Macaca mulatta: one gene and its partners. The protein of the gene in region 1 interacts with the protein of each later gene in a pairwise test. Links are inferred from orthologs where the notes say so. Each region holds a gene or a part of one and is shown on either strand. Other genes may lie near its edges.

Evidence for each region.
Region 2: the proteins of LSM2 (region 1) and CLNS1A interact in binary tests that used the Homo sapiens proteins (3 or more experiments, as listed by UniProt). The link is inferred for Macaca mulatta from reciprocal best matches to the Homo sapiens genes LSM2 and CLNS1A.
Region 3: the proteins of LSM2 (region 1) and DNAJA1 interact in a two-hybrid assay, tested with the Homo sapiens proteins (2 studies listed by BioGRID and IntAct). The link is inferred for Macaca mulatta from reciprocal best matches to the Homo sapiens genes LSM2 and DNAJA1.

What each region holds. Positions count from the first base shown.
Region 1 is NC_133409.1:150,509,215-150,513,529, reverse strand, and holds the start of LSM2 (U6 snRNA-associated Sm-like protein LSm2), read right to left. Parts: upstream 2,866-4,315; 5' UTR 2,656-2,865; coding exon 2,653-2,655; intron 2,044-2,652; coding exon 1,976-2,043; intron 1-1,975. UniProt on the Homo sapiens protein: Plays a role in pre-mRNA splicing as component of the U4/U6-U5 tri-snRNP complex that is involved in spliceosome assembly, and as component of the precatalytic spliceosome (spliceosome B complex).
Region 2 is NC_133419.1:78,053,743-78,057,392, reverse strand, and holds part of CLNS1A (methylosome subunit pICln), read left to right. Parts: intron 1-1,328; coding exon 1,329-1,465; intron 1,466-3,650. UniProt on the Homo sapiens protein: Involved in both the assembly of spliceosomal snRNPs and the methylation of Sm proteins.
Region 3 is NC_133420.1:66,342,845-66,346,494, reverse strand, and holds part of DNAJA1 (dnaJ homolog subfamily A member 1), read left to right. Parts: intron 1-1,473; coding exon 1,474-1,606; coding exon of another isoform or gene 1,607-1,612; intron 1,613-2,053; coding exon 2,054-2,281; intron 2,282-3,650.

The sequences.
Region 1 (4,315 bases):
CTGTTCTGTATCACTTACTAGTTTTGTAGACTTGAACAAGTGGTATAGCTGATCTAAGCCTCAGTTTCCTCATATGTATAACAGCAATAGTACATATTACTAAGGAGTGTTTGAGAAATCAATCAATAAATGTATTCAGAATAGTGCTTAGTCAATAGGTCTTCAGATATTATTTTTCTTTCCTTAAGCACCTATCATACAACTGGCCTATACTAGGTATTAGATACACAGTAGCATATCTAATACGTAGGTTTCACCATGTTGGCCAGGCTGGTCTCAATCTCTTGACCTTGTGATCCACCCACCTCAGCCTCCCAAAGTGCTGGGATTACAGGCATGAGCCACCATGCCCAGCCTATGGCCTGTTCTGTTTTTTTGTTTATTTTTTTGAGATGGAGTCTCGCTCTGGTCGCCCAGGCTGGAGTGCAGTGGTGCCATCTTGGCTCACTGCAAGCTCCACCTCCTGGGTTCATGCCATTCTCCTGCCTCAGCCTCCCAAGTAGCTGGAACTACAGGCGCCCGCCACCACACCAGGCTAATTTTTTGTATTTTTAGTAGAGATGGGGTTTCACCATGTTAGGCAGGATGGTCTCAATCTCCTGACCTCGTGATCCGCCCACCTCGGCCTCCGAAAGTGCTGGGATTACAGGCGTGAGCCACTGCGCCTGGCCTGGCCTGTTCTTTTTTGAGACAGTCTTCCTCTGTCACCCAGGCTGGAGTAAAGTGGTACAATCATGGCTCACTGCAGCCTCGACCTCCTGGGTTCAAGTGATCCTCCCACCTCAGTCTCCCGAATAGCTGGGACTACAGGCATGTAAACCACATCTGGCTAATCTTTTATAGAAATGGTTCTATGTTGCCCAGGCTAGTCTCGACATCCTGGACTCAAGTGATCCTCCTGCCTCAGCCTCCCAAAGTGCTGAGATTACAGGTGTGAGCCACCATGGCCAGCCTAGTACTTACTCTTTATTTATTTTTTTTGAGACAGAGTCTCACTCTGTCACCCAGGCTGGAGTGCAGTGGTGTAATCTCAGCTCACTGCAACCTCTGCCACCCAGGTTCAAGCGATTTTCCTGCCTCAGCCTCCCAAGTAGCTGGGATTACAGGCACCTGCCACCATGCCTGGCTAATTTTTGTATTTTTAGTAGAGACGGGGTTTCACCATCTTGGCCAGACTGGTCTTGAACTCCTGACCTCGTGATTCACCCACCTCGGCCTCCCAAAGTGCTGGGATTACAGGCATGAGCCACACGTCCAGCCCATGAGCCACCACACCTGACCAGTATTTACTCTTTAAACTGTATATTGCTTTGTATTGTTTTCCAATACACAATACAATCCCCAAGCTTATCTGTAAATTTAAGGCACAAGGCATTTATTTATTGTTAAATTTTAAAATTTGTCTTAGAGATGGGGTCTTGCTCTATTGCCCTGGCTAGAGTGCAATGGAGTAATCACTGCTCACTGCAGCCTCAAACTCCTGGGCTCAAGCAATCCTCCCTCCTCAGTCTCCCAAAGTGCTCGGATTACAGGCGTGAGCCACTGCACCCCACCCATTTATTTCTTTTGTTTGTTTGAGACAGAGCCTCGCTCTGTCACCCAGGCTGGAGTGCAGTGGCGTGATCTGGGCTCACTGCAAGCTCTGCCTCCCAGGTTCACGCCATTCTCCTGCCTCAGCCTCCAAAGTAGCTGGGACTACAGGGGCCTGCCACCATGCCTGGCTAATTTTTTGTATTTTTAGTAGAGACAGGGTTTCACCGTGTTAGCCAGGATGGTCTTGATCTCCTGACCTCGTGATCCGCCCACCTCAGCCTCCCAAAGTGCTGAGATTACAGGCGTGAGCCACCGCACCCGGCCATTTATTTCTTCTGTACATATTCCACCTCACCCAGCCCTCAAATATTTCTCAAATTAAAGAGGTTCCAGGGCCCTGGGCACACCCACCCCCAACAGACTTGTTGGAACAGGTACCTACCTCAGGTCATTCTTGAGTTCCACGACCACATCCTTGCCCACAAGGGACTTGAAAAAAGAATAGAAGAGCTATTGGGAGAGAGGGGGAAAACCATCATGTGGGAAGGAACATGGTAGGGAGGAGTGTCCCTTGACAGTATTACCAAATACCGGTATTGTGAACCCCATTGCATCCCTAACAGTTCTCAAAATTTCACAGGAAAGAATAATTGGTTGAGAGGTGAAAGGCTGGAGCCCAAATTATTCTGCACACTGCATTGAGCCCATCACTTAAAGTCCCAGAGAGGCTCTGCCCTGCATACCTCGGCCTCCCCAGTGTGCTCTCTCAATCGACCACCTTTCTCGGGTACCTGCCCACTCCTTTCAATGAATTACAGAAAACATCCCACCCGCACCCTGCCGAAGCTTGCCTGGCAGAGAAGTGCTCTAAGGTCTAACTTTTCCGTCTCCCGCTGTCCCCACTGAATCTCTCTCAGGGTTGGGGTTTTTTTCCTCATCATGGAAAAAAAAAATCCCATTTGCTCTCAGGTGTCTCCTCAACGAACTTGAGGAACAGGACTAACGATGAAGATAAAAACTCCGGACCTAACTCCAGCCTAGGGGGACAAAGGCCAGACCCCCCTGCCCCAACCGTCCGAGATCCCCGAGGGCGACCCCTTTTGACGTCACGGTACCCACCATGGTGCTGGCGCAGCGGGCAGCGGGCCGGAGCGAGAAAAGAGCCGGATGCTGAGACCAGGTCTGGGAGAACCGAAGCGCGAGCCCGCGCGTGGGGCGAGGCGGGACCGCGCAGGCGCAGCGGGAAGGGACGCAGAACCCTCCAAGCGCTGAAGGGTAAAGCGCGGCCGACTTGCGGCTGGGGAGCGCAAGCTGGGTAAAACCGAGGGGAGGAGGAAGCCGGGAAAGGGGCGGGGTTTCCTTCGTTCCGACTTCTTCCAGGGCCGGCCGGCTCCCATTGCGCAGGCGCGGACCCTAGCCTGGGCTGCTAGGCGGGTGGAGGCACTCGGCGTCTGAGCTCAAAAGGTTTTGTTTTCCATAACCCTGCCGTCCACAGCGTGATGTGTTCGTGCCCTCTACACACATCCTATCGAGAATTGTGGGGAGTTTGTGAAGATTATGAAGTGTGCACTTTTCTATATTTGTTAAAGTAAAAACATAAAATTCAAAAAATAAAATTAAAAAATGTTTTTAATCTTAAATTCAGCTGATAAAAAAAAAAAAGGCCGAGGGCGGTGGCTCACGCCTTCAATCCCAGCACTCTGAGAGGCCAAGGTGGATGGATTGTGTGAGGTCAGGAGTTCGAGACCAGGCTAGCCAACATGGTGAAGTCCCGTCTTCACTAAAAATACAAAAAAAATTAGCCAGGCGTGGTCGCGGGCGCCTGTAATCCCAGCTACTCGGGAGGCTGAGGAAGGAGAATTGCGTGAACCCGGGAGGTGGAGGTTGCAGGGAGCCAAGATCATGCCACTGCACTGCAGCCTGGGCGACAGAGCGAGACTCGTCTCAAAAAAAAAAAAAAAATTGGCCGGGCGCGGTGGCTCACGCCTGTAATCCCAGCACTTTGGGAGGCCGAGACGGGCGGATCACGAGGTCAGGAGATCGAGACCATCCTGGCTAACACGGTGAAACCCCGTCTCTACTAAAAAATACAAAAAACTAGCCGGGCGAGGTGGCGGGTGCCTGTAGTCCCAGCTACTCGGGAGGCTGAGGCAGGAGAATGGCGTGAACCCGGGAGGCGGAGCTTGCAGTGAGCTGAGATCCGGCCACCGCACTCCAGCCTGGGTGACAGAGAGAGACTCCGTCTTAAAAAAAAAAAAAAAAAAAAAAATTGACCGGGCGCAGTGGCTGACGCCTATAATCCCGCACTTTGGGAGGCCAAGGCAAATGGATCACCTGAGGTCAGGAGTTCTAGACCAGCCTGGCCAACATGGCGAAATCCTGTCTCTACTAAAAACCCAAAAATTAGCCAGGTGTGGTGGCACGCGCCTGTAAACCCGGGAGGTATAAGTTGCAGTGAGTGGAGATCGTGCCATTGTACTCCAGCCTGGGCAACAACAGTGAAACTCTTGTCTCAAAACAACAACAACAACAAAATGTTGAGGCTTGTAAATCCCAGCATTTTGGGAGGCTGAGGCAGGAGGATCATTTGAACCCAAGAGTTACAGTGAGCTACGATCTCCCCACTGCATTCCAGCCTGGGCAAGACTCTGTCTATAAAAAAGAAAATTATAAAAAACAAAAAAATGTTGAGGAGTCCCAGAGATAAGGAGCTGGAGCACAAATTTTGGTTTTATCAAAGGTTACCAATAAATATATTTCTCCAAAGGAGCCAACCTCAATC
Region 2 (3,650 bases), on another chromosome or scaffold:
TTTACAGTATCGTGCAATTATCACCACAATTTTAGAATATTTTCTTCACCCCAAAAAGAACCTGGTACCCATTAGCAGACATTCCTATTTCCTTCTAGCCCTAGGCAACCACTGTATTGCATTAACATTTTTTTTTTTAGCTTCTTCAGGATTTTTTACTTTTTTTCTGCTAAGTGGTACAGATGGATGAAATATTATCAGAAAATTAGTTAGCCTCTACTGAAAGCTCAACATACTGATTTTGGTGATGTGCTTCCTTTGGTACACCAATAAAATATTTGCATTTGACCACATTTGAGGGAAAACTAGGCCTAGCTTTTCTGTGGCTTTCTCTTAAAGATGTTGAATAAATGAGAGGCTTCAGGGAGTCTGTCTCTCAAGGTAATAAATATTCCCTGAGTTGCGGTGAGTGTGATGACACCCATTTATGTCTTTTAGTGTAGGATTCATGGAGAAACGAATGATTACCAAGGATTTATTGCATACTTACCTCCTGAGCTCTTTGTTAATGGTTTTGAAGAATGTTAAATAAAGGAATGTGACGAGTCCTGCTGTCAAATAGCTCATATTCCATAAGGGCACATATAAGACTCACTACCACAGAGTTAAGTACTAAAATTTGCAAATCAGAAAAAGAAGAGGTCTTTATGGACTGGTGTAGTTGAAGGGAGGCCTCATGGAAGAGGGGAGGATTTGCAAAAGCAAAGAGGGTATTTGAAGACATATCAAAAAAGAAGAAGCTTGAAAGTCATAGAAACATACATGTGACTGAGGAAAATGGAATTTCAAGTCTGTTTGAATTTATAGCTAGAGGGAAAGAGACTTTAACAGAATTGATCTTAAAGAAAATTCGATTTCCACTACTGAATTTTCTTTTTTTTTTTTTTTTTTTTTTTGAGACGGAGTCTCACTCTGTCACCCAGGCTGGAGTGCAGTGGCCGGATCTCAGCTTCCTGCAAGCTCTGCCTCCCGGGTTCACACCATTCTCCTGCCTCAGCCTCCCGAGTAGCTGGGACTACAGGCGCCGGCCACCTCGCCCGGCTAGTTTTTTGTATTTTTTAGTAGAGACGGGGTTTCACCATGTTAGCCAGGATGGTCTCGATCTCCTAACCTCGTGATCCGCCCGTCTTGGCCTCCCAAAGTGCTGGGATTACAGGCTTGAGCCACCGCGCCTGGCCTGAATTTTCTTATTTTATGAACATTTCTAAAAAAGTAAGCTTGAATTTATTTATATGCATAAAGGTGTCCAAGCTGAACTTTTATGTACTTTGTGATATTACATTAGGATTTACTTTCTAAAACTAATCTACTTAAAACATGTTTTTCAGCCGCCTGTCTTGGTTAGATGGTTCTGGATTAGGATTCTCACTGGAATACCCCACTATTAGTTTACATGCATTATCCAGGGACCGAAGTGACTGTCTAGGAGAGCATTTGTATGTTATGGTGAATGCCAAATTTGAAGGTATGTATGGTGTAATTTAATCTAATGCCTCCTTTGATAGCAAATTATATTTTAAAAAAGAGTGTTTGATAATAATCAATGTAACATTGAGGCCATTGACTCATTTTGGATAGTAGTTTATTAAGCAAAATTTCAGCACAGCAACTTGGACAGTTGAAGTTTTCATAATGGACGTTTGTGTGTGTCTGTATATATTTCTATATATTTACACTTAGAATTCTTCATTTATTATGGATATGTATTTCTAACTTTCCTCTAAAGTTTCACTGTTTATTCTGCCTTTCTCTTTTTAAAAGGCACCCTTAGAGACTTGGATCAGTATACCCTGTGCTTCTGAGAATTTAAGATAGAACTGTTCTGTTTTGTTACAATAGTGGTTATCAGTGGGTGTAGGGGGAATATATTTTTCATAGACCTCCACCAGCCTCACCATTCCCCCACATTTGGCAGTGACATTTTGGTTGAAAGAGGAAGGATATTATTGGCATCTAGCAGTTAGATGCCAAGGGTGCTATTATTGTACTAAATATTCTGCTATGCGCAGATGGTCCCCCACAACAAAGAATTATTCCATCCAAATGTCAGTGGTGCCAAGGTTGAGAAACTGTAGGATATAAAGATTTTCAAGTTTTGCTTTGGGATAATTGCAAAGACTTGTAAAAATCTAGTGAAGATGTTCATGTTTAAAATAATGGGTTGCTTTTCTTTGAAGCAGTGTGTAAGAGACAATCCCATTTATTTACCTATAAGACTATTGCTCTTTCAAATTGGGATTTTAATATGGTTCCAGATATAATAATATGATCATTTATATTCAGTTGTGACACTATTTAGTAATTCTTAGGACTTTTGGCAAGCCCTGCCTCATTAAGTGGTAATGACTGATTCAGCTATCTGAAAATATTTTTGTTATAAGATTTCCAATTCTTGCCGTTGGAAAAGGTTCAAAGACATTTAAAAATCTAGTGAAGTCTGAAAAAGAGGATTAGGAAAAGTAAAAGGCTGTTAACCCTGGGGTGTAGTAGTGTAGTAAGACTTCCTAATAAGGCATTAGATACAAAATTTGCTTTTCATCTAAGTAAATGCAACTATGATTTTATAACTAAGAATATCATGTGTCATGTTTAGTTTAAAGCATTCATTGATTTCCAGAAATGCAAAACCTTAGAGGTACTCTTGCCAGTCAGCTCCAAATGCTGGTGTGAAATGGCCCTAAATAGTGACGGGCATTGGAGGTGGGAAAGGTACATATCAAGAGAAAGGCTTAGGAAATAGTGTTTAATAATAAAGGGCAAAAGCACATTGAATAAGAAAACTCTGTCATTAGGCCGGGCACAGTGGCTCACACCTGTAATCCCAGCACTTTGGGAGGCCGAGGCAGGCGGATCACCTGAAGTCAGGAGTTGGAGACCTGCTTGGCCAACATGGTGAAATCCTGTCTCTACTAAAAATACAAAAATTAGCTGGGCCTGGTGGCGGGCGCCAGTAATCCCAGCTACTTGGGAGGCTGAGACATGAGAATCGCTTAAACCCAGGACGTGGAGGTTGCAGTGAGCTGAGATTGCACCACTGCACTCCGGTCTGGGCAACAGAGCGAGACTCTGTTGAAAAAAAAAAAAAAAGTAAAAACTCTGTCATTAACTTGCTAGGCAAGTCATTTGCATCTCTCTGAGCCTGAATTTCATCCAGAAAGGTTAAGGGAGTATATTGGTCTCTGGTTCTCAAACTCAAGACTAACGGATACATATTAGAAATACGTGGGAAGCTTGTTTAAAATGCAAATGCTGTAAGTCCTAAACTAGGAAAAAGCAGTTCAGTAGGTTTTAGGGTGTGTGTTTTAAATATGTGCTCTATAATCTTACAGAGTCTATATGATTATTTGATTGTAATTGATGTGATTATGATTAATCCTTTCTTAGTAAAATATGCAGGATTTCCTATCTTACTAGAAATTAGTATCTTCCTGGGTCACATTTATTTCACTAATTCTCCAGTTTTTTTTATTTTTTTGAGATGGAGTCTTGCTCTGTTGCCAGGCTGGAGTGCAGTGACGCGATCTCAGCTCACTGCAACCTCCGCCTCCCGGGTTCAAACGATTCTCCTGCCTCAACCTCCTGAGTAGCTGGGATTACAGGCACCCACCGCCATGCCTGGCTAATTTTTTTTTGTATTTTAGTAGGAACGG
Region 3 (3,650 bases), on another chromosome or scaffold:
AGCTTTATTGTGTCAAAATTATGTATTTAATATATTTATCAGGAAAGTGGCCTATGGGCTCTAGAAATACTGCTCATAGGAATAAAGTGTTTAAGTCAAGAGAAATTAGTCTCACTTTATTACCAGTATAGTGAATACAAACAAGGGCTATGAGCAGAACCAGTTTTAGAATGAATGGCCAAGCCATTAAGTTTCACTTTGAGCTTCTAAGATATTTAAACTCCTTAAAAAGAAAGTGCATAATCCAAATCACTTGCTTAGTAAATTGGTAGAATTTGTCCACAAAAAAGTAGTGGTGGTTTTTCATTTACCTTACAAAGAACTGACCTGCAGGTTAACATTGGCAAGCTATTTTATGTGGCTTTAGATCATATTGAGAGGTTATTTTTGGGGAAATGTGCTTCCCCAAGCTCTAGAAGCTTTATTTTTCCTTCTTTATATTCTCAACACTGTACAAAATAAGGGCAGCTAGATTTTAGCGTGCCAAAACTAAAGGTGGAGCTATAAGCAGAAGGACATAATTAATGGTATTTCATGCTTGATTAGAAAGTAAAAATGTTCATTAGGCATGAACAGAAACGAGTTTGAGAACTTGTTTCAGTTGGTGGAAATGCAGTAATATTGTGAATAAGTTCTTGTGGAAGGATCACTAGCTAGGAACTTACTAACTTATTAGCAGGTGACTTCATATTTCTAACCTCCGTGTCCTTATGAGATCTTGACCTTCCATTTCCCATTCTGATTTAAGTGAAGTAAGGCACTCCTTAGGAGCCACTGGCCATGTGTGGCTCCATTAATTTAAGAAAAAAACAAAACTACAGTTTCTTAGTCTAAAGAAAGCACATGTGATTCGTGGCTACTGTGTTGGATAGAACAGATATGAAACGTTTATCACTGCAGAAAGTTCTGTTGGGCAATGCTAGTATAAAAGGTATGAGAAATTTGGCCTTTAAAACAACCGGTGCTGGCCCAGCAGTAAATGGGCTGTTTTCTACTAAATCAGGAAGAAGTAGAAATTGATACTCTTCTGTGGTAACTCAATAAATGCATCAACTTCCCTGGCCAATCTTGGTTAATGAGAATTTACTGTGCTACAGAATTTTTGGATGAAGTAATTGGTCACGTTGCTCAATACGGTACGAAGTGAAAGCTTCAAAGAATATATTGTGACAGAAATGAATGTTTGGATTATTGTGAAATGTGCCCTTTTAAATAACGTTGGTTTTTCTCAGGTGACTTTGAGGTTAATGTTTCTGCTTACCATATTTCCAAGATGGTCATGTCTATGCCCTTAGGCAAATATTTAATTTCTGACCTGATTTTCTCTCATCTGTGATTACATCACAGTTTGAGGATATTCTGTGTATATAGTAGGTAGTCAACAGATGTACCCTGTGAGGCTCATTTTTTATTATCCTTTCACATTCTTTATAGTGCCTTTAGCACGAATAAGTAAGATTCAACATCAAACAGATTTGTAATGAGAAATACTTTGTTTTAGGCAAAAATGTTGTACATCAGCTCTCAGTAACCCTAGAAGACTTATATAATGGTGCAACAAGAAAACTGGCTCTGCAAAAGAATGTGATTTGTGACAAATGTGAAGGTACGGGTTTTTTTTGTTTTGTTTTTTGTTTTTTTAAACGTCTTTAATATGACACCTGAAAATGGAGCTAAGACTTCCTGGATACGTAAAATTGACTCACGTACACTACGTAGATTTTGGGGGAGGGGAGGGCTGATATAAAGAAAACCGACTGAAAACCTGCCACCTAAAGAAATAACAGCACTATTTTCTGTGTATATTTTAAATATAGGGATCAAGCTAGCTTGGTATCTTTTTTGTAATAAGTAAAATTATTTACTGGAAATGAAGTATGTTCTAATGAGAATAAAACTAATTAAAATGATTTCATCAGTTACATATTCAGAGGGTAGCATTCCATCAGACTTTGAAAATATTAAAAGTACAGCATTTAGGAATTGTCTTCTTAAAACATTTACTACTGTATACACTAATTCATACGTTATTCAATTTTCTTTTTACATTTAGGTAGAGGAGGTAAGAAAGGAGCAGTAGAGTGCTGTCCCAATTGCCGAGGTACTGGAATGCAAATAAGAATTCATCAGATAGGACCTGGAATGGTTCAGCAAATTCAGTCTGTGTGCATGGAGTGCCAGGGCCATGGGGAGCGGATCAGTCCTAAAGATAGATGTAAAAGCTGCAACGGAAGGAAGATAGTTCGAGAGAAGAAGATTCTAGAGGTTCATATTGACAAAGGTGAGTTCTGAGCTACTTATTCTGAAGTCTTGAATGCTGTGGCAGATTTATTATTAACATTTTATAGTTTAAAAAGCATTCTTGGCCGGGCACGGTGGCTCAAGCCTGTAATCCCAGCACTTTGGGAGGCTGAGACGGGCGGATCACGAGGTCAGGAGATCGAGACCATCCTGGCTAACACGGTGAAACCCCGTCTCTACAAAAAAAAATAGAAAAAACTAGCCGGGCGAGGTGGCGGGCGCCTGTAGTCCCAGCTACTGGGGAGGCTGAGGCAGGAGAATGGCATAAACCCGGGAGGCGGAGCTTGCAGTGAGCTGAGATCCGGCCCCTGCACTCCAGCCTGGGCAACAGAGCGAGACTCCATCTCAAAAAAAAAACCATTCTTAGTTAGGTTATATATGATCCTATCACTCAGAAATAGATCTTAGCAGCGTAATATATAATGTTTTTCCATCCAGACATAATTTTGCATATTGGTATATTACTAATAGAAAATAAGGAATCTCCTCATCTAATATAAACAGGATCATTTTTTGAAATCAGTGGTCCTGTAAATGATTGAATAGTGTTCCAAACTTAATTCTCTGCTGTTAAACCATAGTTCTTCCATCTTTTAAAAAATTAGAATGAAGTTATTTGAACACATTCCTAATTAAGAGTTATTAGATCAAGGGATAGGCATATTTTTAAGGATTTGAGAAGGGAGTTAGGTGAAGAATTGGGTCTCATTAAAATTCATGGTTTTTTTTGTTTTTTTCTGAGACAGAGTTTTGCGCTCATTTCCCAGGCTGGAATGTGCAATGGCACGATCTCAGCTCATTGCAACATCTGCCTCCCAGGTTCAAGCAATTCTTCTGCCTCAGTCTACCAAGTAGCTGGGATTACAGGCACCCAGCACCACTCCTGGCTAATGTTTTGTATTTTTAGTAGAGACAGGGTTTCACCATGTTGGCCAGGCTGATCTCGGACACCTGACCTCAGGTGATCACCTGCCTCGGCTTTCCAAAGTGCTAGAATTACAGGCATGAGCTACCACACCCGGCGTCATGTTTATTTTTTAAACTAATGGACATGTTTTCTGTTCTTTGTTTTTTTTCCTGAGATAGAGTCTTGCTCTGTTGCCCAGGCTTGAGTGCAGTGATGCCATCTTGGCTCACTCTAACCTCCCCTCCCAGGTTCAAGCGATTCTCCTACCTCAACCTCCCAGGTAGCTGGGACTACAGGTGTGTGCCACCATACCTGACCTGGACTTGTTTAAATAAACGTATTGGCCCACTTAATTGGCTTACTTGCCCATCTGTTGTATTTAAATGCTCCGTTAATTGATTTGAAAGAATTTAGACTACTTTTCCTTTTTTTTAGACTTGAC